Linked DNA regions of Drosophila melanogaster. Each later gene encodes a partner of the first gene's protein in a complex. Each region holds a gene or a part of one and is shown on either strand. Other genes may lie near its edges. The genes, in order: mle, msl-2, msl-1 and msl-3.

Region 1 (7,575 bases):
TTGTTTATTGTTTGTAGCTGCGAGATCAGCGCTTGGGTGTTGGCACTAAACGCCGCTCTCACTCGATCCCCTCTTCACTGACTCTCTGCACTGCTTACAATTTGTGCAAGTTGCTATCGCCTTTTCGCTCAACTCTGTTTTACTGGGCACTAACGAAATTAAATGCTTGCCCACGACCAAACGTGTGCCTGTGTGTGTGCGTGCGTGAGTGTTTTCTCACTTTTATCTACATTTGCTCGTGTGGGTGTGCGTGATGCTGGACTGCTGGCAACCAACAAAAATCCAGCTGTGTACCGGCGTTGGGGCCGCAAAAAAGAATTCAAACTAGGCGATTAAATGGGTGACTCGCGATTGCACTATTATTTAGTTGGGCTGGCATCCGTATTCACATTTTAACTCAAATATCGTCCTCTTTTTCCCATCGCGTTGCAAAAAGCTGTGTGACCAGTACGCGGACTCGAGAAATACCAAAAGACTGGGGCAAATATACTATAATACTGAATTTCAGTCATCATCTTTAAAATACTAATTTATTTCAACAGCTTGGATATTTTTATTTGAACAGAAATCAATGGTCGTGTCGCTGGTCAAGTTTAGTGGTCTTCTTGGTGCCAGAAATGACTATTTAATATATGATTATTTATGCTGATTATTATTTTTTTCATCGTAAATTAGCGTAAATTATTTAAGGATTCTAAGACCTGCTATGATATGAGGAATCTTTCTTGACGGATTGAAGGGCATAACATAGTCATATGATATCAATTATTCGATAATATTCTGTCCTACACATCTTACGCAAAAAACGGCTCAAAATTCGTCTACCAATTTGAATTGGAATTCCGTTTCTTTTGTTTTGCAATATTTCATTTATTACTTATACATAAAAGACTTCTCGGCACATAGGCATATACGTCAATTCAAAACAAACAGAACTGCATTACAACATAACTCCCTGATACAAGCTCATCCTTCAACATACCACATCAAACTCCTTTCAACAACACCACATCACACAACAGGAAAACGATATTTCTTATTAACAGTCTCAGGCTTGATCACATCAACCTTACAAATGACCATTACAAGAACAGGTCCCCCATATATATGTATATGTATTTATATGCGCTCTTTGCAACCAGTTAGACGTTAATCCCATCCTAGCATACTGTTCTTCCCTTTCGCCACATAGAACAGTTGACATCAACACAATTAGAAACTTTTTAAAAAGCTCCAACCTAATTTAAAAAATATAAAATGGAAGGTGCTAGCTGCTAATGCATCTAGGTTTCAGTTACCTTAAAATTTTATACTCTACGTTATATTTAAATAAATAAATAAAAGTATATATATAAGAAATTTGTCTGTTTATTTATAGTGCAATATATACAAATATGTCTAAGTCTCTCTATAGGTTTCTTTTATTTTAGATTAAATTACATTAAATGTTTTTATATCTACACACACTGTTCTATTTTATCCGTTCCTATTTTGATAGGCGATTCAAGACGCGTTAGTGTTTTGTAAAGCAACAAAAAAATTAATCGATATCAGAATAGACATCACAAAAGAAATAAATTTAATTTGAGCTCCGTAGTTGATAGAAAGTTTATTGAAAATCTAAGAATGGATATAAAATCTTTTTTGTACCAATTTTGTGCTAAGTCGCAAATAGAACCAAAGTTTGATATTCGCCAAACGGGTAAGTGGTTATGTTGCACTCCCCCAGGCGTGTTTCCCAAGTAGCAGTTTAATTTATAGGTCCCAAAAATCGCCAGCGGTTCCTTTGCGAGGTTCGTGTAGAGCCAAATACCTATATTGGTGTGGGTAATTCCACTAACAAAAAGGATGCCGAGAAAAATGCGTGCCGTGATTTTGTCAACTACCTAGTGCGCGTGGGCAAACTGAACACCAATGATGTTCCAGCGGATGCTGGTGCTTCGGGGGGCGGACCTAGGACTGGTCTGGAGGGTGCGGGCATGGCAGGGGGCAGTGGACAGCAGAAGCGAGTGTTTGATGGTCAGTCGGGTCCACAGGATCTGGGTGAGGCCTATCGCCCTCTAAACCACGATGGCGGTGACGGCGGTAACCGCTACTCAGTAATTGATCGCATCCAGGAGCAGAGGGACATGAACGAAGCGGAGGCTTTCGATGTCAACGCTGCCATCCACGGTAACTGGACCATAGAGAATGCCAAAGAGCGACTGAACATTTACAAGCAGACGAACAACATTCGCGACGATTACAAATATACACCAGTGGGCCCGGAACACGCTAGGTATGTGCTTCCTTTTCAACTTTCTTCGGCCTGCATTTCGGATTTGACCGAATATGGCCTACGGCCAAATCTGAAATGCAGCCCATAATCATGTCGGGCTGTGACCAATTTGATTTGTGCAGAGCAGCGCCGGCAGAACGATGTGGTACGATACTCCGAACTACAAGAACCACGTCCAGCTTCCTTGCGTGGGGTCTGTAAGCAAAACGGACGCCCATGCAACGCGGCTTAGCTGACAATAATTCAAGCGCTGACTTTCCAGCTGCGTCTAACACATTAGTACCACGCCGTTCTGTCGGCTGGCTCCTTCAGCAGTCCGTAGACTCCCACGATAGCCCGAGGGTAAGTTCCGGATTTGATCTACATTACCAGTCCAGATTTTTTCAAAAAGTTCTTTTAATGTAGGAGCTTTTTGGCCGAATTGTCCATTTATGTGCCGGCGCTCAATCGCACGGTGACGGCCCGTGAGTCGGGTTCAAACAAGAAGTCTGCCAGCAAGTCATGCGCCCTGTCCCTGGTGCGCCAACTTTTCCATTTAAATGTGATAGAGCCCTTTAGTGGAACTCTGAAGAAAAAAAAGGATGAGCAGCTGAAGCCATATCCGGTGAAGCTTTCGCCAAATCTGATAAACAAAATTGATGAGGTGATTAAGGGTTTGGACCTTCCTGTCGTAAACCCGCGCAATATCAAAATCGAACTGGACGGTCCTCCGATTCCTCTCATTGTAAGTAATACGAAACTAGAAAACTAAAATAAAAATGTATCAGCAATTTGAATTAAATTTCTTATCTCAGAGTATTAAAAAACAGTTTAGAGATTTTATCAGACAAAGACTATTAGCTAAATGTTGTATACCGGTTTCAATATTCTTGATGACATCCAACAGTACTTTATAAAGTATATATTATTATATTGATTTACGTAAGTCATATACTTAGGAATACGCTAGTAACTCCCACATCGTTCAGTCCCTCAAAAATATTTGATATGCCGAAACAACAATGCAAATACTTTAACTCGATTAATTTGTACTGCATACTTGGCTGTAACATTTGTATTTTTTCTATATATAGCTCTCAATACGCGTCGACAGACACCATAATCGACCTAATCCAATTCTGTGTTCAAAAGATATTTCAAAGAAGGTTTTACGCTACGTTAGCATAACTAAAATCTGCGTCTTTAATCTTAACTTTCAAGCTTTTGTTGTGATAGACTTGGCTAGTGATCTTGAACAAGATTATTTCTGTTATCTCTTACATTCATACCCTTACTATATGAGCATAGGAATACGCTGCCCTACCCAAACCACCTTTTTTTTGCGAACAAAAAATGTAGTGTACGATGTAAAATATTTTCTCCTAGGTGAACTTAAGCCGTATAGATTCCTCGCAACAGGATGGCGAAAAACGTCAGGAAAGCTCCGTGATTCCGTGGGCTCCTCCTCAGGCAAACTGGAATACGTGGCATGCCTGCAACATCGACGAAGGCGAACTGGCAACCACCTCTATTGATGACCTTTCGATGGACTACGAACGCTCGCTGCGTGATCGCCGCCAAAACGACAACGAGTACCGACAATTCCTCGAGTTCCGCGAAAAGCTGCCCATTGCAGCGATGCGGTCGGAAATTTTAACCGCAATTAATGACAATCCAGTGGTAATCATTCGTGGAAACACAGGGTGCGGAAAGACTACCCAGATTGCCCAATACATTCTTGATGACTACATCTGCTCCGGCCAGGGCGGGTACGCTAATATTTATGTGACCCAGCCTCGTCGCATTTCAGCCATTTCTGTGGCCGAGCGCGTAGCTCGCGAGCGGTGCGAGCAATTGGGCGACACTGTAGGCTACTCGGTGCGATTTGAGTCTGTGTTTCCACGACCCTACGGCGCAATCCTCTTTTGCACCGTGGGTGTGTTGCTGCGCAAGCTGGAGGCTGGCTTACGAGGAGTGTCGCATATTATTGTGGACGAAATCCACGAGAGAGACGTGAACAGCGACTTTTTGCTGGTCATCCTTCGCGACATGGTCGACACATATCCGGACCTGCATGGTAAGCTCGAATAAGGTGCAATATTTCTAACATAAATCCGTATGTATAACCTGCATTCAAATTTCTTGGGGTGAAACTCTTCGACAATTGTTGATTATACTTATATATTTATATATACATACATTTGTATATATGTATTGTATATATACATACATTTACATGTATAAAAAGCAATGTTGAGCAGATTTTGAGCCGCGAAAATAACTTATTTTGCACTAATTCACTGGCTTAATTAATGAAGATTATGATTATATTGTTTGTACCGGATCCGCCCAGAGTGTATATGTTATGTTCTTAATAGTCGATTTGTCAGTTTGTTCCATTGAAAATTTGCATTGCCAATTGTTTGTGTTTCATATTTAATGTAGAGTTGACTTGCCAAAATTACTTATGCCCAACAAAATTACTATTCAGAACTTAAAACTTATATGCATTACGGGTCATACATTTCTAGTCCTAATTTAATATGATATGACTTTTAGAAAACACTATAATTAATAGAAACTCTTCTATTGCAGTTATTCTTATGTCGGCCACTATTGATACAACGAAATTTTCCAAATATTTTGGCATCTGTCCCGTATTGGAAGTACCCGGAAGAGCATTTCCCGTGCAGCAATTTTTCTTGGAGGACATTATTCAGATGACAGACTTTGTGCCTTCGGCGGAGTCGCGCCGAAAGCGCAAGGAAGTGGAGGACGAGGAGCAATTGCTTTCCGAGGACAAGGACGAGGCGGAAATCAACTATAACAAGGTGTGCGAGGACAAGTATTCACAAAAGACTCGAAATGCTATGGCCATGCTATCCGAATCGGACGTTAGCTTTGAGCTGCTGGAGGCATTATTGATGCATATTAAGTCAAAAAATATTCCCGGTGCTATCTTAGTATTCCTGCCCGGTTGGAACCTGATCTTTGCGCTTATGAAGTTTCTGCAAAATACAAACATTTTTGGTGATACATCCCAATACCAAATTTTGCCGTGCCACTCGCAGATTCCACGAGACGAGCAACGCAAGGTTTTCGAGCCTGTTCCAGAAGGCGTAACCAAGATTATACTTTCTACCAACATTGCAGAGACTTCTATAACTATTGACGACATTGTTTTCGTAATTGATATATGTAAGGCGCGCATGAAGCTCTTTACTTCACATAACAACCTAACCAGCTACGCCACCGTTTGGGCAAGCAAAACCAATTTGGAGCAGCGCAAGGGCCGAGCTGGACGTGTCCGACCAGGCTTCTGCTTCACACTCTGTTCGCGTGCCCGCTTCCAAGCGCTAGAGGACAATCTTACGCCGGAGATGTTCCGCACACCGTTGCACGAGATGGCGTTGACCATTAAATTACTCAGACTGGGCTCCATTCACCACTTTTTGTCAAAGGCATTGGAGCCACCTCCGGTAGACGCAGTAATCGAAGCTGAGGTGTTGCTTCGCGAGATGCGCTGCCTTGACGCTAACGATGAACTTACTCCATTGGGGCGCCTGCTGGCACGCCTCCCAATTGAACCAAGACTTGGAAAGATGATGGTCCTCGGCGCAGTATTTGGCTGCGCCGATCTAATGGCCATTATGGCTTCGTACTCTAGCACCTTCTCAGAGGTGTTTAGTCTTGATATAGGTCAACGTCGCCTGGCAAATCATCAGAAAGCGTTGAGTGGTACCAAATGTTCCGACCACGTGGCAATGATTGTAGCTTCACAAATGTGGCGGCGCGAGAAACAACGCGGTGAGCATATGGAAGCTCGGTTCTGTGACTGGAAAGGACTGCAAATGAGTACTATGAACGTTATCTGGGATGCCAAGCAGCAGTTACTGGATCTCCTTCAGCAGGCAGGATTCCCAGAAGAGTGTATGATATCGCACGAGGTAGACGAAAGGATTGATGGGGATGACCCCGTGCTGGATGTGTCCCTGGCGCTGCTGTGCTTGGGTCTCTACCCCAACATTTGCGTGCACAAGGAGAAGCGCAAAGTGCTGACTACAGAGTCTAAAGCAGCGTTACTGCACAAAACCTCGGTGAATTGCAGCAACTTGGCCGTCACATTTCCGTATCCGTTCTTCGTTTTCGGCGAGAAGATTCGCACGCGAGCTGTTTCCTGCAAGCAACTATCTATGGTCTCGCCCTTGCAGGTGATATTGTTTGGATCGCGCAAGATTGACTTGGCCGCCAACAATATAGTGCGCGTTGACAACTGGCTTAACTTCGACATAGAGCCGGAACTTGCGGCCAAGATTGGTGCCCTTAAGCCGGCCCTGGAGGATCTTATCACGGTGGCGTGCGACAACCCTTCCGACATACTTCGCCTTGAGGAGCCCTATGCACAGCTGGTCAAAGTGGTCAAAGACCTTTGCGTTAAGAGCGCCGGAGACTTCGGACTGCAGCGTGAATCAGGAATTCTGCCGCACCAATCACGTCAGTTCAGTGACGGCGGAGGACCGCCCAAACGAGGTCGCTTTGAGACAGGACGCTTTACTAACAGCAGCTTTGGTCGCCGTGGAAACGGCAGAACTTTTGGAGGAGGATATGGAAATAATGGAGGAGGATATGGAAATAATGGAGGAGGATATGGAAATATTGGAGGAGGATATGGAAATAATGCAGGAGGTTATGGAAATAATGGTGGATATGGAAATAATGGCGGAGGTTATAGAAATAATGGTGGAGGATATGGAAACAATGGCGGAGGATATGGGAACAAGAGAGGTGGATTTGGAGACTCATTTGAAAGCAATAGAGGATCAGGCGGCGGCTTTAGAAATGGCGACCAAGGCGGCCGCTGGGGTAACTTTTAACGGATACATAAAAAAAATGTATTGGTTTTTTCAAAAACAAAAAGAATAATAAACATTACTATTCGCATTTCGATATGCTGAAGGGATTATACAAATAAGACGCATTGAATCTTTTGGTTTTTTGGCATTAAATACGCATGTGCGATCCGAATAGATTCACGAGTTAACGTATGTAAATAGTAACCAAATATGATAGTTCCGCTGACATTCCCTAACCTGTTGCATACATACATATATTGCTGGAATTTCGTTTGTGAAGGCGTGGAAATCGTTTATTGTCACAAAATGAGATCAAAAACATTCATTCTATAAAGGCTTTTGGTGAACCTGTGTAATCATTATTTTTTATCTCTGCTAGCATTTTAGACGATTACTGATTTCGCAATTAGACCTTTTTAAAACATATGTCATGACAACAATATATACAATAAAAAGCCATATATA
Region 2 (6,160 bases), on another chromosome or scaffold:
AGCTCGAAAGTAATCTAAGATAGCGTAATTCTAGAAAGCTTGAACAAATTTCACTATTGCCTATCTATTGGTATCTATTTCTAAAAGTGTAATTTTTTCTTTTTTTAAGAAAAGCAAATGATTTATGGACTGTGCATTCCTTTTTTTAAAAAATGAGAAATTATGGAACTCTTTTTGAAATTGTCTAAATTTTCGAAAAAGTCTGAAGAATTACAGTGTGAGTTTTATGATTTATCACTATATTCTGTAAACTTATTGCAGTACGCAGGCAAAAACTTTATTTTACTCACTGGAACAACTTAACCAAGGCTCTTAATCTTGAGAACTATTAGTTTTAAGCTAGTCTATAGCCAAAATTCTATATCAAACGCCAATATTAATATTTATTTTAAGAAAAACATGACTAAGAATAAATGCAACTAATAGACAAATGAATTGAAACTGCTGTAGTAATAAATAATTCCTAGTAGCTCTTACCTTATAATTTACACTGAAACAATTGAAAGAAAGCTCAATCCTTGGGAATATCGTTTTACGGCGTGTATATTTTGTTTTAACGGATAATGAAACTAGAAAACATCATCATAAAAGCGGAGTTTAATGGGCGGCCTCCTCCTTCATGCCACTGCCCACTGGTCCATGACGACGCTCCCAGATCAGACGATGCTTCTGCTTCATGTACGCGGTCTTGGCATTGGCGTAGCCTCCCAAGTCGCCATCTATAATGGGTTATATCTCGTTATATATCACATACAACTTTAAAGAAGATGGGTAAGGGATTCCACTCACACTTGATGAACCAGTTCTCGGTGGCCTTCTCGTACTGATCCATCAGCGGCCTGCACTTGACCATGTGATCGGGTGCCTCGTAGAGGGTGCAGTCCTCGAAGCGCTGGCGCAGAATGTTGACAATCTCGTTGTCGACCATGCGATCCCGGCGGAACTGCTGATCGGCCTCGAAACGGCAGACGGCATCGTCCGTGTAGCACTGGTCGATCGTCGGAACGCGGCGGAAGCGCTGGTGGTACCAATTCTGCTTCTGCTGGTTCGGCTCCACAATGCTCTCTGTGGGATTAACACAAGGCGCATTAATAAAATATACTAGCTGTAATGCATTTCTGTTGAAAAACATGATCCCGCTTTGACTAGATGAACTATATAGTAACGGACGGCATTTAAGGGCTGCCGACTAGTATTCTAAGAGATTTAGTTTGCGCTAGCTAGAAATTACTTAAAACGGTTGATTATAAACATTTTAGCATTTCAGCAATACAGTGTAAACAAAAACAAATGGACTGCGAGTTGAGGTTATGTCATTATGTAATTGTCTGGAATTTGTCCGGTTTTTCCGATCGTTGGCCAAAGGAAACGCAAACTTGCAGCATCTGGAGACTCCCATGACCATGGCCATTGGGAATCCCTGTGGACTACATACCACGGAACCAAGTTATGGGTCCATCGATGACATTCAGCACCGACTCGGCAAAACTGGCCATCGGACTGCGCGGTTCCGGCATTTTCTGGCTCTCCTACCACCTGGCGTAAGCGGAAGAGCTGTTAGTAAATAATTTCCAAGGTTTTCCGCTTTCCTTTGACGGAAAATACTTAAAAAACCATATTTACTTGAAAAACTAAGTGTTAAAATTTGTTGTAGGACCGCAGTTCGTAACTGCGAAAATTCCTCAGAGCACTGAAATCAGCTGTTCGAGGTAGTGGTCACACCTATGCCGCACTGCAGCTAGCATGTTCGCACTGGCACACTGCGGTCACACTGGCTTCGCTCAGCAAAATATTGCTTGGGTAATTTTTTTTTTTAGTTGCTAATTTATTGTTTTCAACGCTGTTGCACAGTGTGCAGCATAACCATTAACAATGACTTGAGACCTCTCAAACGTAAACCAATTTTTTTTTTTTTTTTGCACGTGAAACATAGTGATAACGAAGCCACAAAAGTGAAACCAACAAAAAGCGTTCCAGTAAAGTTACCATTAGATAATGAAATCGAGGATTAACGCGGTCTAAGCATGTGTAACTGAGCTCCTACGGGCGAGGAATTGCAGGTAACTAGCCCAGGAGGCACCAGGTAGCGGAGCAGGTGGCGTGGGTCGGACCGACAAGGCACTTACTTGGCCAGCGGAGTCTCACTTTTGGGCTGAAAAACGTAAACAAACAGCGGCGTGCGTACAGTCCCGGGCATAAAAATATAGCCATCATGGCCCAGACGGCATACTTGAAGGTGACACGCATCGCGATGCGCTCCGCTTCGAATCTTTCCAAACGGCGGGTGGAGGAGCTGAACTCCGGGCTCGGCGAGCTACGGCAGCTGCTGTCTTGCGTGGTCTGCTGCCAGCTGCTGGTGGATCCCTACTCGCCCAAGGGCAAGCGGTGCCAGCACAACGTGTGCCGGCTGTGTCTGCGCGGTAAGAAGCATCTGTTTCCCAGCTGCACCCAGTGCGAGGGTTGCTCCGACTTCAAGACCTACGAGGAGAACCGTATGATGGCCGCCCAGCTACTGTGCTACAAGACGCTGTGCGTCCACCTGCTCCACTCGGCATTATTTGGTGAGCTGGCCGGGATGCGGCCCCAGGTGGCCAGGGAGCTGGTGCCTCGCATCAAGCTGCCTCCCAAAACCACACAGGAGTTCATTCGCGAGGGCTCAAACATCTCCGACACTTTTGACATCTTTCTGCCCCAGCCGGATTTGCCGTTCCTCAAGGACATGCCCACATCGCTGCCCGCAGAGACGCCGCCTACGTCGGCGGTCACGACTCCGGAACTGCCCTATGATCACCACCTCAACATCAGCGACATTGAGGCGGAGGCGGCGGCCACAGCGGAGCAGGGTCACTTCTCGCCGCTTCCCCTGCTGCCCACAGGATCTCGCATGGGCATGCTCTCTCACGCCGGGCAAATAGTCATTGCCACCGAGAGCTCGGAGTCGGGCTTCATGGACCAAGCGTGGACGGATCAGGTAGACCTGTCTGGCACGGTTTCGGTGTCCAAATACACAAATAGCGGCAACAACTTTGCTGTCTCCTACGTGATGCCCACTTCTGCGACCACGAAGTTCGATCCACAGGAACTGCAAATCGGCCAGGTGGTGCAAATGGCGGACTCCACTCAGTTGGCTGTGCTGGCTGCCGTTGAGGAGACCGTCGAGACGTCCACACAGTTGACTGTGCTCTCCACCACCGTTGAAGAGACCGTTGAAACATCCACGCAGCTAGAAGTGCTTACCTCCGCTGAGGAACCCAACGAAATCTCTGATCAATTGGCTAATCTGCAAGTTGAGGAATCTGATGAGGCTCTGGTTGAAGAGACCGTTGAAGAGGCCGAAGGGACCTCAATCCCGTCAGAGGTTGTAGCTGAGCACATGGAGGAGGATCAACACTTGGATGTGCACACTTCACAGTCACCTACACAAACCGAAATGGAGGAAGCAGTGGAGGAGCATGTTGCCACAAAAACACAATTGGGTCATGTGCAAACAGAATTGCAGGATGCGGAGTCGTTGCAGAAAGATTTTGAGGACGCAAAGGCAGCGGCTGAAGAGGCGAAGGAGAAGGAGAAGGACCTGCACGCAATCAGTGCTGAGCTGCAGAAGGAGGACAGTGACGAGCCAACACTTAAGCGAAAGAGAACCCGTACTCTCAAAGCGTCACAAGCTGCCAAAATTGAGCCTGTACCGTCTGAGGTCAAGACTAAAGTGCAATCTGGAAAGGGCGCTCTTCGCAGGATTCGGGGCAAGGACAAGGAGGAAAAGGTGAAGCCTCCGAAGCCGAAGTGCCGCTGCGGTATCTCCGGCTCGAGCAATACCCTCACCACCTGCCGGAATTCCCGATGTCCTTGCTACAAGAGTTACAACAGCTGTGCCGGGTGTCATTGCGTGTGCTGCAAGAATCCGCACAAGGAGGACTACGTTGAAAGTGATGAGGACGATGATTTGGAGGATTTCGAAATGCCGAAGGACGTTCCAGAGCCGATGACTCAGTCGGAGGAGCCGGTGGTAGCTGAGCCTAGGCAGGAGGAGAACAGTATGGCGCCGCCAGACTCTTCTGCCCCCATAAGCCTAGTGCCGCTAAATAATTTGCAGCAATCCCAGCATCCTTTGGTGCTTGTTCAGAATGAGAAAGGCGAGTACCAGGGTAAGTTACCTCATCGCTGTGTTAGACCTATCTAACCCTGTTCCAATTGCAGGCTTCAATATCTTCCAGGGCAGCAAGCCCCTTGATCCGGTCACCGTTGGCTTCACTATTCGTGTCCAGCTGCAGCACACCGATGGCTTCGGTTCCCTTCCCCAGTATGCTTATATAATGCCAACAATTGACCCGCCGAATCCACCAGCTCCATCACTTTCGCCACCACCGCCTCCTGCTCCTGACAGGGAAGTCATCGAGCCACCGGCCAAGAAATTCAGGACCAGTCGAACACGCCGAGGAAGGGCCAACTTCTCGGCCCTCGACACGGTGGATGAGCTTGTCAGTGGCGGATCCAGGAGCAATTCTGCCGCTGGCGACAGATCATCGGCCACTGACAATGCCCATTCACTGTTCGAGGAGATCATGTCGGGCTCGGATGACTTGTAAGCAAGACGACTCATCCCTATATGTTTGTTTTTTTATGTGCTCAGTGATGTCCAGGTATCAATCCTTTAATAGATAATTTTTATGTACGTTATGGATGGTCGAATTCAGCACTGAATTGCATCCATAACGTGGTATCGTCTTTGATCCTCTTATCATACCCGTTATTCGTAGAGTAAAAGGGTATACTAGATGTGTTTCCGACCATGTAAAGTATATATATTCTTGATCAGGATCAATAGTCGAGTCGATCTGGCCCTGTCCGTATGAATGTCTCGATCTCAGGAACTATAAAAGCTAGAAGGTTGAGATTAAGCATATAAATTCTAGAGACATAGATGCAGCGCTTGGTTGTTTACCCATGTTGCCACGCCCACTTACCGCCCAAAACTTCCACGCCCACAATTTTAAATTTTTTCTCATTTTATTTCCCAATATCTCTTGGATATCCCAGAAAAATGATGAAATTTCGCGTTCGTATTTCCACTAGCTGAGTAACGGGTATCTGATAGTCGGGAAATTCGACTTTAGCATTCTCTCTTGTTTTTAACTTGTGGTTTCGTTATGCTATATATTCCCCCACTCAAACAACTTCCACTCAAATCAACTCCCAAATATCTTTTAGGAGCATTCTACAATCTGATTTTTGTAATCATCCAGCAAACGTTTCCAAAACTCAATTTTTTTTTAATACGTATTAAGCCAAAAGTCGTATACATAACTATTTAAAGCAATTCTGCAGCTGCAGCAAAGATAATCTATTTAAGAGTAAAGCATTAGTCAAAACTAAAGATTATTTTCGTTCAACGAACAGCGAATTATAGATTGCTTTGCCCAAAATGTGGATGCTGTGAGCTAAAAAAAACCTTTTTTTTTAATAGGCTAAGACATTTTTTTGAATAGGCTAAGACTTTTTTTGAGCATGAATTTTTTTGAGCACGTGAACCTAGGATTAAGAACAACAATTCAAGTAAGCCATATATACCCATATTATATATGCGAACATATAACTATTAAAATATTCAAATAAAAATGAGCATTGCTACTACAGAAAAATGCGCGATTTTCTTTGGGTTTCAAAACCGTTTTCGAACCGTAACACTCTTTGCCTCATGCAAGCTGCTAGTTCATGATTTCTAGAACATCGTTCCTGGGAGTGGAGTGAGTTCCATGAGTGCCTACAATGTGCTGGCCGCTTCCGCTCACTTAAGTCACTCAATCTCAATTCCGAGTTTAATCAGCAGCTCCGCGAGCAGAGTCGCCCTTAGATAAGCGGATCGCCGCCTGCGGCTCATCATTATCTTTTGATTAACGCGCCAGTCGACAGTGCGTGTTTGTTCCGAGTAGAGAACGGAGGCTGGCGCGTTTTCTTCCATTTTCCAACTGATAAGCAGAAGCTCCAGCTAATCCCCGAAAGATGAAGCCGTTGATAGTGGTCGTGCTCGTGGGCCTGATGGCAAGTGGCTGCCACATTGTTCACTCCCAGGAGCCTGGCGATGGTAAGACGAATTCCAGTCTGAGCTCTACCGGAACTAAGCCACTCATTAATGACCTTTGAGCAGCTGTGGAGCAGGAAG
Region 3 (7,613 bases), on another chromosome or scaffold:
TTAGATATTAAGTACCGCGCATTAACTTTCAACGTAGCTTATTCATTTATTTTTATAAATTATCCTTTGAAAATTATAAAAATATGCGTTTTTATATCATAAATATACACTAACTTTTACTTCCGCTCTCCTGCTGCTGCTTGGCCTTAAGTCGCTCCTGCGCCAGCCTGCGGTTTTCCGCAATCCTGGCCATCTGTTCGTTGGATAATTTCTTAGCCGCCGGCGTGGGAGGCTGTGAGGGAGGCAGCGGCTGACCATAGTCGCTGATGTCCATCGATGCCAACGGAGCTCCATTCCGATCGAAGGCCGGAGCCACAGAAGCTCCACTTCTGTCGAAGGTCGCATTTACACCGGAGTACGGCGTGGACATTACAGCATTGCCGCGGGAGAATGACGGAGTAGCCAGCGTGCTGTTACTGGAAGCAGTAGACATTTTCCACTGCTGCGGGCTGGGAGGCGCCAGCCTGGACATGGCAATCTGTTCACCTAGCAGGGCGTCGAACTCATCAAAGGGTTCATCGCCGGCACCTTCCTGTTGCTCATCCTGCGCCTCCTCCAGGGCCTCCGCTTCGTGGGCGCGCATCTGCTCCAGCTGACCGAGTCGATATCGCGCCATGTGCACTTGGAGGGGTTTCTTCTTGCCCAGCCGTTCGATATTGTTAAGCACATCGTCAAAGGTGTAGGTGGGATACATACGATGGCCCCAGTGCTGCAGGCGGCGAAGCACCTCGTCGAGATCGGTTTTCTCGTAACCCTTGCCCTTGAATTTGATGTCCTTAAAATAATCTTCGATGGTCTGGATGCCACGAGGACCTCGAAGTGTTTCCACAGTGAGTCGCGGTCGGGGATTTCTCACAGCTCGCTTCTTAGGCTCCACTATCTGGGCATCCTGGCTACCAGGTTCTACGCCGTTGTCCTCGTCGTCCGCAAACAGCTTTTCGCCTTCGCCATCGCTGGGCAGCTGATCCGGGTCAGTCGGAATGTTGTCATTGAATAGGTCATCCACACCATCATCTCCGAACAGGGATGCCATAGAACTAGTGGCCGAAACTTAAATACCAAATAAACAATCTAACAAAATTTTGGCGCCAATTTTTGTTCTTCTTCTCTATCTACCATTCACAGGCGACGCTTGCATAAGTCACAGGGGGCTGCCAACTGAACAGCTCTTTGTTCTTTTAATTTTCCGATTACATAACTATTTGGTCTTTCCCAAAGGCTATTTTGATTTGCTTAGACATATTTTCATTAGTGGGTGGCACTAAAGGTAATTTGTACAGCCAACCCGGCTTTTGCATTGGTGGCAGCAGACATAAGAGATGGCAGCGTGACACGTTTTTTTTATCACTAAGCGACACATTGGCGTCACGAGTTTTTGTTATTCTATTATATTTATACCATTATACAAGGAAGGATAATTCATCCAAAGATTGTAGTTATTTAAATTTAGTGAAATATTTAAAAGGAGTTGGTAATGTAATAAAATTACCAAAAAAAATAAAATAAAATCAATACATTATTAGCTAGCTAGTTTCTTTTTCATCTATTTTCTCATTCCAATTACTCATACCACATAAAAATTGAAAATAATTATCCGGGGAGCAACGGAAGATTATTATTTACGTTGAGAGAAACTGTCCTCTTTTAACTGCTATCCTTGTGGTCTGGCAGAGTAAGAAATAAAAATGTGTTTAACGACATTTAGTCGGAGTTGACGAGCTGCCGCTCTTTATTCTGGTAACTGCAAATTTAAGCTGAAACTTAAAATGATTCTTAAAGCTAACAAAGACTCCGGCCCAATGCTGTCTCAGCACTTTGATATTATGTTTCATACACTAAGCCAACTGTACTAGTTCGTCGGCTCGTGTTAACTTAGCTATTAGCTATTATGTGCAACAAAGTACAGTTTCGTGAAAATATTTTCACTTCGTGACTGTCGTGCTCAGCTCGTGCATCGCAGCAAATTGCCATCTCTATGCCCCCAATCAACTCTGCGCTTTGGCGAAAAGTGGCAACGCCAGCAAAACGCCATACTTTTAAGAGCATTTTCGGGGCGACTTTACATTGTGAGGACAATTGTGGAAAAAGCGGTGAAAGAACGTTCAAAAACGAACCGAAAAACTGCTGCCTAAATGCGGTCACCACGTGCGATAAGAACGCCACGTTTAAAACGATAAATCCATTAGATTCTGGCCAAGAAAAGAGCGGTTCTTTTGCGAGGGCGAGCAAGGAAAATTTAGTGTGGTGCGAAATTGTAATCGGGATTCTACGCATTGTACGGCGTATCAGCTGAAGAGATTGTGTGCACCCCAAGCGACGCAAACAAAACCAAAACAAAACAAAAACATTTGGAGAATTATGAGATCGTAGGACCGACGGCACGGGATTCAATTCGACTGCCATGGACAAGCGATTCAAGTGGCCGCCCAAAAAGCGGGCCAACTACTTGGAATCGCCCTATCCCCACATACCGTCGCGTGGCCGCCAAAGGAATCTGCACGGCCATCCCAATCAGACGCAGCATCTTCATCAGCATCCCGGGAAGATCTATGAGCGCCAGCAATATGGCAATGGTCGTGGAGGACATGGCGGGGGTAATAACAACTACCGAAAGCTTTTGCATTCGCTGCCAGCTGAGCATGGTGGCGGAGCCATGGCTCCTCCTTCCTCCGGCGGAACCGTGTGTGCCGGCGCCGATATGGTCAAGCTCATCTCGGAGAACAACAACCTGAGGCGCATGGTTATGTTGAACTTAAACCTGATGCAGGAGCAGACGGACAGCATAGCGGCCAAGGACAAGGAGCTGGACGACCAAAGCGCTAAGATGAGCGTGGTGAAGGCGCAGAATGAGGAATTAAAGCAGGCCGTTGCTCAGTTGGAGGCCGCCAACCAGGAACTATGCAAACAGCTGCGGCGAAAGAACCAGCGAAGGAACGACAATGACGACGACGACGATGATCCCCCACTGCCACCTGCTGCCCCGCAGCAGAAGTTGATACGTTGTCATGCTGAGACGCAAACTGTGTTTCGGGAGCGGGAACAGGGCACACAAACGATAGATGCGCAGCCTCAATTCGCGAATGCACTTCCCAGGGGTATCAACATGAAGGAGTCTCCCGCTCTGGACCATCACGCTGGAGCGGTAACGAATCAGCCAGCCAGCAAACGCTCGGAGAGCAAAGGCCGCGGTGAATTCAACGGTAAAAAGGTGAGCACGTTTATTCTCCAGCGCATGAATCAGGACTTCGAGCACCACATCCACGAGCAAACGGAAGTAGCAGAGGAGCACGAGATGGAGGCACATAAGGAGCAAATATCTCAGGAAGAGGACCAACTGGTCGCTGAGGAAGATCATCTGCATATGCAAGAAGTGCACACCGAGGAAGTCGTTGGAGGCGATATCTTTCATGATGCTTTGGAATCAATTGAAATGGAAGTGGTCACCGAAGAGCTGGTTGATATGGAGGAGCATGGACAGTCCGTGGATGCCAACGGCCATATCGAGGAGGATGATGACGAGGACGACGAAGATGACGAGAATAGTGATAAAGACGATGACAGTGAAGAGGATGATTATCCGTGGATGCATAGCGATGCGGATGTAAACGCCAGAACTGAGGAAGAGCTCTGGCAGAATCAGGTATGTTTAATGTTATTATTTAATTAAAAGAATATATCGAGCAATCCTTTACTCTTTCAGAATTACCTTTTGGAATTGGACCCGACGGAGGAGAAGACCTGTGCGCCTTCGGCCCATTCAACTCCCAATCACCAGCAGAAGTCTTCGACACAGGCAGAGATAAGGAAAGAAGGAAATCAGAATCGGATAACTGAAAAGTTGTTGCAACTAAAGCCTGAGCCAATGGTAGATGCATTAGAAGCGCCGATTCTCCCGAAGTGGGTGGCTTTTAAGAAAAAGGATAAGGAACATGAATCAGTCCCCGAGTCCCCAGAAGTACCCAAGCAGCAGCCGCATCAGGAAGATGCCATCGTTGATCATAATGCAATAAAGAATCAGTTGGAAGTTCCCAAGCCGGACTTAAAACCGAAGGACCAGCCCAAAGACGAACAGAGGCAGGATGGGCAGCTGGATGTTCGCGTGGAACCACAAGAGGATGTTCGTAAGGTACAGAAGGAAACTCTGAAAAGGCAACCAGAGGATGCACCTAAGCACCTTCCGAAAGCGGTAGCCCCAAAGGTTACGAAAACATCCTCTCGAGAAAGCACGTTGCCCAAGGCAAACACCGCTGACATAAAAGACGCTCCCGCTCAAAAAGTAATAGCCAACCATCAGTCCACCAAGACGCAAACGGATCCTGTAAAAACGCAGCGTTTGCAGGTTAAGATCAGGCAGTATGAAATGCATCCTGACATGAGAACCGGCTCCTCCGCCCCGTCTGATATTCGGAAACAAAAGAACGTTGATCCAGTTTCGACGCCCGAGACGAAAACCATTAAAAGTAAAAGTATGTTGGTCAATGATAAAAAGACCACGTCGGAAACGTCTCAGAGCCCAGATCAAGAAATAGATGTGGAAACAGTTAGAAGAAAACTGGCGGAACATTTAAAAAAGGAGCTCCTAAGCCAGAGTCATTCGTCACAGGTTACGCTCAAGAAAATAAGAGAGAGAGTCGCCACAAATCTAATATATCCACCACCCAGTGCACCAGTATCCTCAACAACAATAACCCCAGCGCCTACGCCGTCAACGACACCAACGCCTGGCTCAACGCCACAGCATGCGGTTACATCCTCAATGGACCAGGAAATATCTGCAGCAAAATCGAAATCCAAGGCAGCTGAACAAATAGCAACTCCTCTGACACCTCAATCTAATAGCAGTGTTAGCAGCACCACTTCGACTATCCGAAAAACGCTAAACAACTGTTCACCCCACACGTACAGCAAGGCAACGGCGAGATCGGGAAAACTGCAGTCCAGATTCCGCACTGCCACGTTTCCGTACAGCACGAGAACGTGGGAGGATCAGGAGTTCCACTGTGACAACGAGTTCTTCCTGGAGGAGGCCGACGAGCTGCTGGCGGATAACCCTAGTCTGGAGATACCCAAGTGGCGGGATGTCCCAGTGCCACCCAGTTCGGATAAAATTGACACAGAATTACTGAGCGATGCGACCTTCGAGCGCCGGCACCAGAAATATGTGAAGGATGAGGTCGATCGAAAGTGTAGGGATGCACGTTATATGAAGGAGCAGATACGGCTTGAACAGCTTCGGATGCGACGGAACCAAGACGAGGTGTTGGTTGCGCTGGATCCTCTGCGCGCCTCCACTTTCTACCCGCTGCCCGAGGACATAGAGGCCATCCAATTCGTCAACGAGGTGACAGTTCAGGCATTCGGCGAAAACGTGGTCAACATGGAGGCGCGGGATGATTTCGGTGTGCCTTGGGTGGATGCAATCGAAGCGCCAACCTCCATAGCCAGGTCCAAGGCACTGGCTGAGCCGGTGGCAACGTTGGCTAGCAAAAAAATACCCACCACTGCTGCCGAGGCGAGGCATCAAGAAAATCACTCCTCCTACGTGTTTCCCAAGCGACGCAAGCGCCAGAAGAATCGTTAGCCAGGAAACGCCTGGGGGATCTGATACTGGAGCTAAGCAGAAGACTGTCGGTTGGGGGAAGTCGTTGCGTTTGACATACTAATGATTTTCAGTTTTAAATCATGAATTATTTCTTAAGCTTAACGTGAAAGCACCAGAGTTAACAGTAACGATTACCACAGATCGTCTAGAAGTCAAATAATCCAGAGCAGACGATGTTTATTGTATATATGGTTCCTCAACTGTCCGTTTTTATTTGTGTAATAAAATGAACGGAACGCTGAATTCTGGAACATTAGAAATTCTTTGTTATAGAATCTATAAATTTATGTCAAAGTTTTGTCGTTTCTTATGCGATGAGAGATCTTAAAAGGCAAGTAAATTGAGCTGTCCTATTCAAACATTTTTCTATTAAATTGTTATCATATTTATTTCCTTGAAATATAAATAATTCGATCTTATATTAGATGTAAATGAATCCAAATGTTCGTCGCCTGGTCTGGAAATGATTAGTTTTTAGTTAACGTCTTGCAATTGAAAAGAGTTTCACCCTTGCTTGTTTCCAATGTACGTAAATTACTTAGTCCCACACAGCATGTAATTCAAACCAGTCGCTTAGTTAGATTGGTTAACTCATCTCAGCTTTATCACCTTTAAAATCGCCCGCACTAAAGTGATAAGAACACGAAAGATATTCACATAAGTTATATTGGGCATTTTTTTGGAGAAAAACAATGAAATTCGTAGACTTATATTTTTAAATATTTTTTTTCTTTAGCCCTTATAACCATTTTTTTTGTCTTTGTTTATACTGTTATATCTGTCGATTCTCGAATGCAGACAACGTGTGTGTTGCAAAGAGTTACTCAGGTATATCTCTGATAATTTGTCTTTTTTTTTAGGATTTGATTGTGTAAAAATTGAGTGCGAGTGGTTGTCTGCTTCGAGTAATCAAATTATACATTGGATCTATTGTTTTATTTTATTAACTTCATTAAACTTGTTTTATGTTGTATCGAACAAGAAAGGCCGTTAAGATGAAAACTAGATTTGAAGAATAAATATAAAACTGATTCCCGAACTGCACACCCGTTTGGCCTTATGGGCACCATGTATTTTTGGCTAAATATTGTTTCGTTTAACACTTCTTCTGTTTGACTTTCTGTCGCAATGATATGGAGCCTGCCAACGTCCGGAGAAATCAAATCACCAGCTCGCTTTCGAGTGGCGTCTTATTTTTGTACATTTCGATAGGTGTAAAGTCGGTTACTTGTAATATAGCGTTAAGTAGGCACTGTACCCAAACGCATAGAGATAATTATAATGTAACAAAGTAAATACGATACGATGTACATTGTCCAGGAAAAGGAGGAGCGGAGGGTGGATGAACTTCGTTCAACACCATTTTACACCATTCAATGTAATTAGCGTTAAATAGTTCAATTTACTGAAGCTTCAACTAAAAATCAATTCGAAATTAATTGCCACCATTGTAGAGCCCTAAACAAACTCACCTACTGTAAGAATAAATGTACTACATACAATGTATTTGTATTTGTTTAACAAGTTTTATTGTAAAGATAACGATAATAATATACAGGATAAAGTAAATTGTAAAGCAACGAAATGCAATCAATACTTGGACTTGCAACTTATTTTGCACAGGTGATATGTAAATGAAATTCTAATAATTGACAATGGGTTTATTTAACAGGCCTCAATTGATTTTCCAATGACCTGGCATCGCTTGCTTCTGGTTTCCTTAGATGTCTTTTTGTTTGCGATCATCTCGATATAAACTTGTTTAGGGGCTAATTGCAAATGTATTTAATATCTTAGAAAATGCTTCATTATACTCTATATATTGGCTGTGACAATTTTATCTGACCCTCGTTACCTAATGGAAAACATAACATACAAAATCTTCAACAACCAGAATAGCTGGATTGAAAATCAGTTAAAATACCTTTAAAAAACGGAAAAGCCTAACGGAATTTTATATTATTTATTGCTCTGCGTCAAGTACTGGTGTCCAGTGCTTGCCCACAGCTCA
Region 4 (4,769 bases), on another chromosome or scaffold:
ACAGCTCCACTTGGAAACTTCCGTAGGTTGCTGGAATAGGAAATGAAAGAATAATCTTGATTAGAACAATAACTATATAAAATTGTGTTATGAAAATAAGAGGGTTACTTACATTTGGCCTGCTGCTTCTCCCTTGCCGCCTGCTCCACAAAGATGGAGCTCTTCTTGGGCTTATCCAAAATCGAGGCATCCACGATGGATTTGTTATCGCCCAATGCTCGCTTGTTCGCCAAATCACCGGCCTTGGGCTCAAAGCGGGACACACGTCTCAGGATCTTAACCACGATACCACCAGATTGAGTAACGAGCGTGAGGACGTGATCCTCCATGCCCATTCGTCCGTACAGCATGGCATCCACCGTCTCCTCGAGAACAAACTCGTCGACGAGGTAGCGCTGCAAATAAAACTTGACCACTCCTCCTCTAAGGGCAATGGCCACCAGGGTGAGTCCCAGATGGGTCAAGGGCAGCGGTAGGAGGCAAACGGGTAGATCGGACATGGGCACCTGGTATAACAGCTTGCCCCGCTTTGAGTAGCACAGATAGCGATTGTCCATGGTGGAGGCGATTATCGTCTGATCGATGGGCAGCAGTAGGAGGCCGGTTAGGGGGATGCCGAGCTTGAAGATCTCCTGTCCCTCCGATTGGCTTTTCCGCAGGAGGTAGACACCGCCATTTCGCGTGGCCACCACGATGCAGAAATCCGTCTCAAAGGTTCCCTGCACGGAGATCAGGCTCGGCACGGCCGTCTCATCATCGCAGGCCTTGCCCTGGTAAACCAAATTGAAGCCCTGCGGCTCCAGGATCATGATGTGCCCGGTATCGGTGGCCAGGACCAAGTGGGACGGGGGATTGGCATCGCTGGAGATGCGCTTTATGCAGCACATGGCCACAATGTTGCCAACCCGACCCACTGGGGAGTCCTTGTGCGTGGCAATGAAGTGCTCCCGCTCCTGCTCGCCCATTTGCAGAAGTCGCTGCGATTTCCGCGACAGCTTGGAGTGGTCTATGGTTTTTAGGGAGTCAAGCAGGGCGGGATGGGCACTTGGCTTCACAACCGGCAGTTTTCGCCATACCTCCAGCTCCAGATCCTCGGAGTCCTGTGCGGGAATCGTGTACTTGAAGTATGGCTTTAGGTGACGATAGAAGAGCACTGACTCAGCGATGGCCACGGCAATTACTGGAAAATTGTATTCATTATGGAATCTAATTTAAAAATATTAAAATGCAACGTTATTTCTACCCGGCGTCTTGGGCTCCGTTTCGTCGATGTAGAGACTTTCAATGGCCGCTGGAATCCCCGGCAGTGGCTGCTCGTGCTTGAGTTTAAGACCACGGAAAACCTTCAGCGTGGCAGTGGGCTCCTCGGCGGCATTGTCCAGTGAAATGTCCGCCGCCAGCAGCCGGACATATCCGTCGCACTGCACGTCGCTCAGGGCCATGCAACTGGTGAGGGTGGTGAGATGCGGTGGAGGAGCCTCCTCCGCCGTGTCCACGTGAAGCCAGTTGGGAGCACCGGCCATGGCAGGATCTTGGTGAAAAATTTGCAGCACAGTGTGAAAACGAACAGGTGATTCAGGACATGCTTTTGTTTTGGTTTTTCTTGTCCTTAGCAACCGGGATGACAGCACATTTTTTGTTACTTATTTGGGTTTTTTCTTAAAAACACAAAATGATCGTCAGCATTATTCTTAAATGCTAACAGGGTAAAGCTACGTATAACTAAAAAATCATTTGGCAAAAGGTAAAACTGTGATCAAATTACTGATGATAGAAAATTTTATTTAAATTGGCCGCCAAAAATGCATTTTGTCTGGTCACACTTAAGGCCGGCCTGCTAAAGACGTGCAAGCATCGACAGTATGTGTTATCGATAAGTGCGAGGGAATATTCGATACCCACGTCAATTGCTTATCGCAAAAAACATTCGTTATAAATATCATCTCAGCGACGCCAGCAGTTGAATTCAATATTTAACATTTTGTATACATAAGTGACTGACTACGGCCCTATTTAACTGCAAGTAATGACGGAGCTAAGGGACGAGACACCGCTCTTTCACAAGGGCGAGATAGTCCTTTGCTACGAGCCGGATAAATCGAAGGCCCGTGTTCTTTACACCAGCAAGGTAAATACACATGCACACACACACACACGCGCGCGCATTGAAATGTCAAGCAAACGTCGTAGGCGAAGTTTTCACAAATGATTTTCCGTTTCCCGCAATTTTCCGTACATGCCGCAGGTGCTAAACGTCTTTGAGCGCCGGAACGAGCATGGCCTGAGGTTCTACGAGTACAAGATTCACTTCCAGGGCTGGCGTCCATCCTACGATCGCTGTGTGCGCGCCACCGTTCTATTGAAAGACACCGAGGAGAATCGCCAGTTGCAAAGGGAGCTGGCCGAAGCTGCCAAGCTGCAAATGTAAGATAACCCCCTAGACATGCGTGGAATACCTCTCTAACGAGTTCCCCCTTCTTTTTCGCACAGTCGTGGTGACTACTCCTACAAGGGCACACCCGATAAGCCATCGGCCAAGAAGAAACGCGGCGGAAAAGCGGCCCACGTTGAGGAGCCAATAGTGGTTCCAATGGACACGGGACATCTTGAGGCGGAGCACGAAATGGCGCCCACTCCACGAGCAGCGGGCAACCGGACGCGGGACAACAGCGGTGGCAAGCGAAAGGAAAAACCCCCGTCCGGAGATGGCCGATTAAAGGGAAACCGGGGCAGACAAACAGAGACCTTTTATAACAATGCCATAAATGATGTATCGGTCTATAACCATGTGCCACAGGAGGATCGCATTATGATGCGAGTCAGCGAGCGATTGCGAGAGCTTATAGAGTACGATCGGAATATGATCAAGGTACTAGGCAAACAGCACGCACTGCCCGCCCGCGTGCCCATCGTGACCATCATGGAAAACTTCGTCAAGCAGCAGGCCGTGGAGCTAGCCATTAGCATTAAACAGGACAGCTCGAGGGCCAGGAACACGCAGAGTCGCAATGCCAGAATGGAGCGGGAATACGATCGCGTTATGTCCACGTTGGTTACCACTCAATATCAGACTTAACAACCCACTTATACTCTTACTTATTAACAGTGTCTGCATGCTGAAGGAGGTGGTAGACGGATTGCGTATCTACTTTGAGTTCCACGTGGATGACCACTTGCTGTATACGGAGGAGAAGGAGTATGTCCACAACTACCTCACAGACGACAACATGCGCAACTGCAGCCTAATATTGAACAAGTCGTACGAGTATATCAATCCCAGCGGTGACACGGAACTGATCGGTCTGGACGGCACGCCAGTGGTAGAAGGGTCGGGCGACACCAATGGACAGATCGGAGTTATTAATATCGGCGGTCCGGAGTACGAGAAGCAGTTGCAAAAATGCCTGCTCTACATTGTTACCGCCAGCGGGAAAAACACTGCGCAGGCCTATGAGAGGACTTCCCCATATACGGCTGCCTACAAACTGCCCGTGGAGATGCGTGGATTTCTGAACGAAACATTCAAGTGGCGGCTTTTGTCAGCGGAATCGCCGCCAGAAAAGTCCATGGTCTTTGGCGCTCCCCACCTGGTTAGGCTAATGAGTATGTACAATCTTTCTTGCATTCTATAACACACATTAATTCATGGTACTTGCAGTTAAAATGCCCATGTTCTTAAACGCATCGCCGATCAGCAACAAGAAGCTAGAAGATCTACTTCCCCACCTCGACGCCTTCATCAAGTAAGTCTAAGACCCCTCCCTAGTCCATCACGAAGCTAATCTGTTGGTTTTTCAGCTACTTGGAGAACCACAGGGAGTGGTTCGACAGGGAAAACTTTGTTAACTCCACTGCCCTGCCCCAGGAAGATCTGCAGCGGGAGCTGTTGGACTCCCTGGATGGGATTGCTGCTTAGCTTTAGTTGATCGTAGTTATCTAGTTTATTTATTATTACGATTAAAGCTTATGCTCTTTTATTTAAAGATTTGTAATTGTCGTTTTGGTTTCTTCAACTACACACTTTGTAAACAACGCACTTCTATAAAAAAGTTTCCTAATGTGATCGTATAATCGAATAATGCCTATAACTATATATGTTAAATATTGAAAATACGATTTTAACATTTTTTTTTGTTTTTTTTTTTTTTTTTGCTTAACCTAAGTTTTAGTTGAGTAGTACATGCTAGTATTTTTGTCATGCCTTGTTTTTTGTGCTCAAATATATTTAAGAGTTGGAAAGTTGTTGTCTTTTGTATTAAGGATTTGCGGACCTTGAGTTGGAATGTGCAGGGAATTCTTAAGATTTGTATAATTTCTCAAAATATTGCAACTGTAACAACTATGTGTGTGCTGATTTGTGTTTCAGATCCTGCTTAGAAATTCGAAATTGTCGCTTGGACGGCTTGGAGTTGGATGCATTCGCGTTTGTAACATGTGTAAACTTGGGACGTTAACTTGGACGATGACTGAACTGGACTGGACTGCCGGCCCTCACTTCTGTCGCTTGGTGGCACTGCTGGCCGTGGGTCGCATGAAGCTGCTCACGGATCGACTGCTGCTAGTGCTCCTCTGCTGCGGACTGGGGTTCGCACTCATCCTGGCCTGCTGCTGCTGGTTCAGGGCATTTTTCACCAGCACCACGCTGCGAGCGGCGCTCATTCGGGACTGTGACTGGGGTTGGGACTGGGACTGGTTTTCCTTAAAACTGGTGCTACCATGGATACTCGATTTCGGAGCCGTGTTGGACATCTTGCTGCGCACCAAGATCA

What was found.
Region 2: mle (region 1) and msl-2 share a complex: the UniProt entries of both Drosophila melanogaster proteins name them as parts of the male-specific lethal (MSL) histone acetyltransferase complex.
Region 3: mle (region 1) and msl-1 share a complex: the UniProt entries of both Drosophila melanogaster proteins name them as parts of the male-specific lethal (MSL) histone acetyltransferase complex.
Region 4: mle (region 1) and msl-3 share a complex: the UniProt entries of both Drosophila melanogaster proteins name them as parts of the male-specific lethal (MSL) histone acetyltransferase complex.

Annotation. Positions count from the first base shown.
Region 1 is NT_033778.4:5,974,746-5,982,320, reverse strand, and holds mle (maleless), read left to right. Parts: upstream 1-1,542; 5' UTR 1,543-1,626; coding exon 1,627-1,702; intron 1,703-1,761; coding exon 1,762-2,278; exon of another isoform or gene 2,279-2,620; intron 2,621-2,683; coding exon 2,684-3,002; intron 3,003-3,643; coding exon 3,644-4,334; intron 4,335-4,852; coding exon 4,853-7,131; 3' UTR 7,132-7,227; downstream 7,228-7,575. UniProt on the Drosophila melanogaster protein: RNA helicase component of the male-specific lethal (MSL) histone acetyltransferase complex, a multiprotein complex essential for elevating transcription of the single X chromosome in the male (X chromosome dosage compensation).
Region 2 is NT_033779.5:3,461,692-3,467,851, reverse strand, and holds msl-2 (male-specific lethal 2), read left to right. Parts: upstream 1-1,739; 5' UTR 1,740-1,800; exon of another isoform or gene 1,801-1,933; 5' UTR 1,934-2,212; coding exon 2,213-4,145; intron 4,146-4,197; coding exon 4,198-4,586; 3' UTR 4,587-5,634; downstream 5,635-6,160. Other genes in the region: Pif1 DNA helicase, read left to right, coding at 1-1; ND-PDSW (NADH dehydrogenase (ubiquinone) PDSW subunit), read right to left, coding at 598-719, 790-1,065, 1,436-1,517; CG3246 (uncharacterized protein), read left to right, coding at 6,001-6,082, 6,146-6,160. UniProt on the Drosophila melanogaster protein: Limiting component of the male-specific lethal (MSL) histone acetyltransferase complex, a multiprotein complex essential for elevating transcription of the single X chromosome in the male (X chromosome dosage compensation).
Region 3 is NT_033779.5:18,683,214-18,690,826, reverse strand, and holds msl-1 (male-specific lethal 1), read left to right. Parts: upstream 1-2,026; 5' UTR 2,027-2,401; coding exon 2,402-3,640; intron 3,641-3,700; coding exon 3,701-5,581; 3' UTR 5,582-7,107; downstream 7,108-7,613. Other genes in the region: CG10336 (uncharacterized protein), read right to left, coding at 110-1,033; CG31751 (uncharacterized protein), read right to left, coding at 7,562-7,613. UniProt on the Drosophila melanogaster protein: Component of the male-specific lethal (MSL) histone acetyltransferase complex, a multiprotein complex essential for elevating transcription of the single X chromosome in the male (X chromosome dosage compensation).
Region 4 is NT_037436.4:7,122,680-7,127,448, reverse strand, and holds msl-3 (male-specific lethal 3), read left to right. Parts: upstream 1-1,915; 5' UTR 1,916-2,026; coding exon 2,027-2,128; intron 2,129-2,245; coding exon 2,246-2,424; intron 2,425-2,490; coding exon 2,491-3,048; intron 3,049-3,106; coding exon 3,107-3,603; intron 3,604-3,658; coding exon 3,659-3,743; intron 3,744-3,798; coding exon 3,799-3,916; 3' UTR 3,917-4,236; downstream 4,237-4,769. Other genes in the region: BBS1 (Bardet-Biedl syndrome 1), read right to left, coding at 1-30, 113-1,180, 1,244-1,523; form3 (formin 3), read right to left, coding at 4,492-4,769. UniProt on the Drosophila melanogaster protein: Component of the male-specific lethal (MSL) histone acetyltransferase complex, a multiprotein complex essential for elevating transcription of the single X chromosome in the male (X chromosome dosage compensation).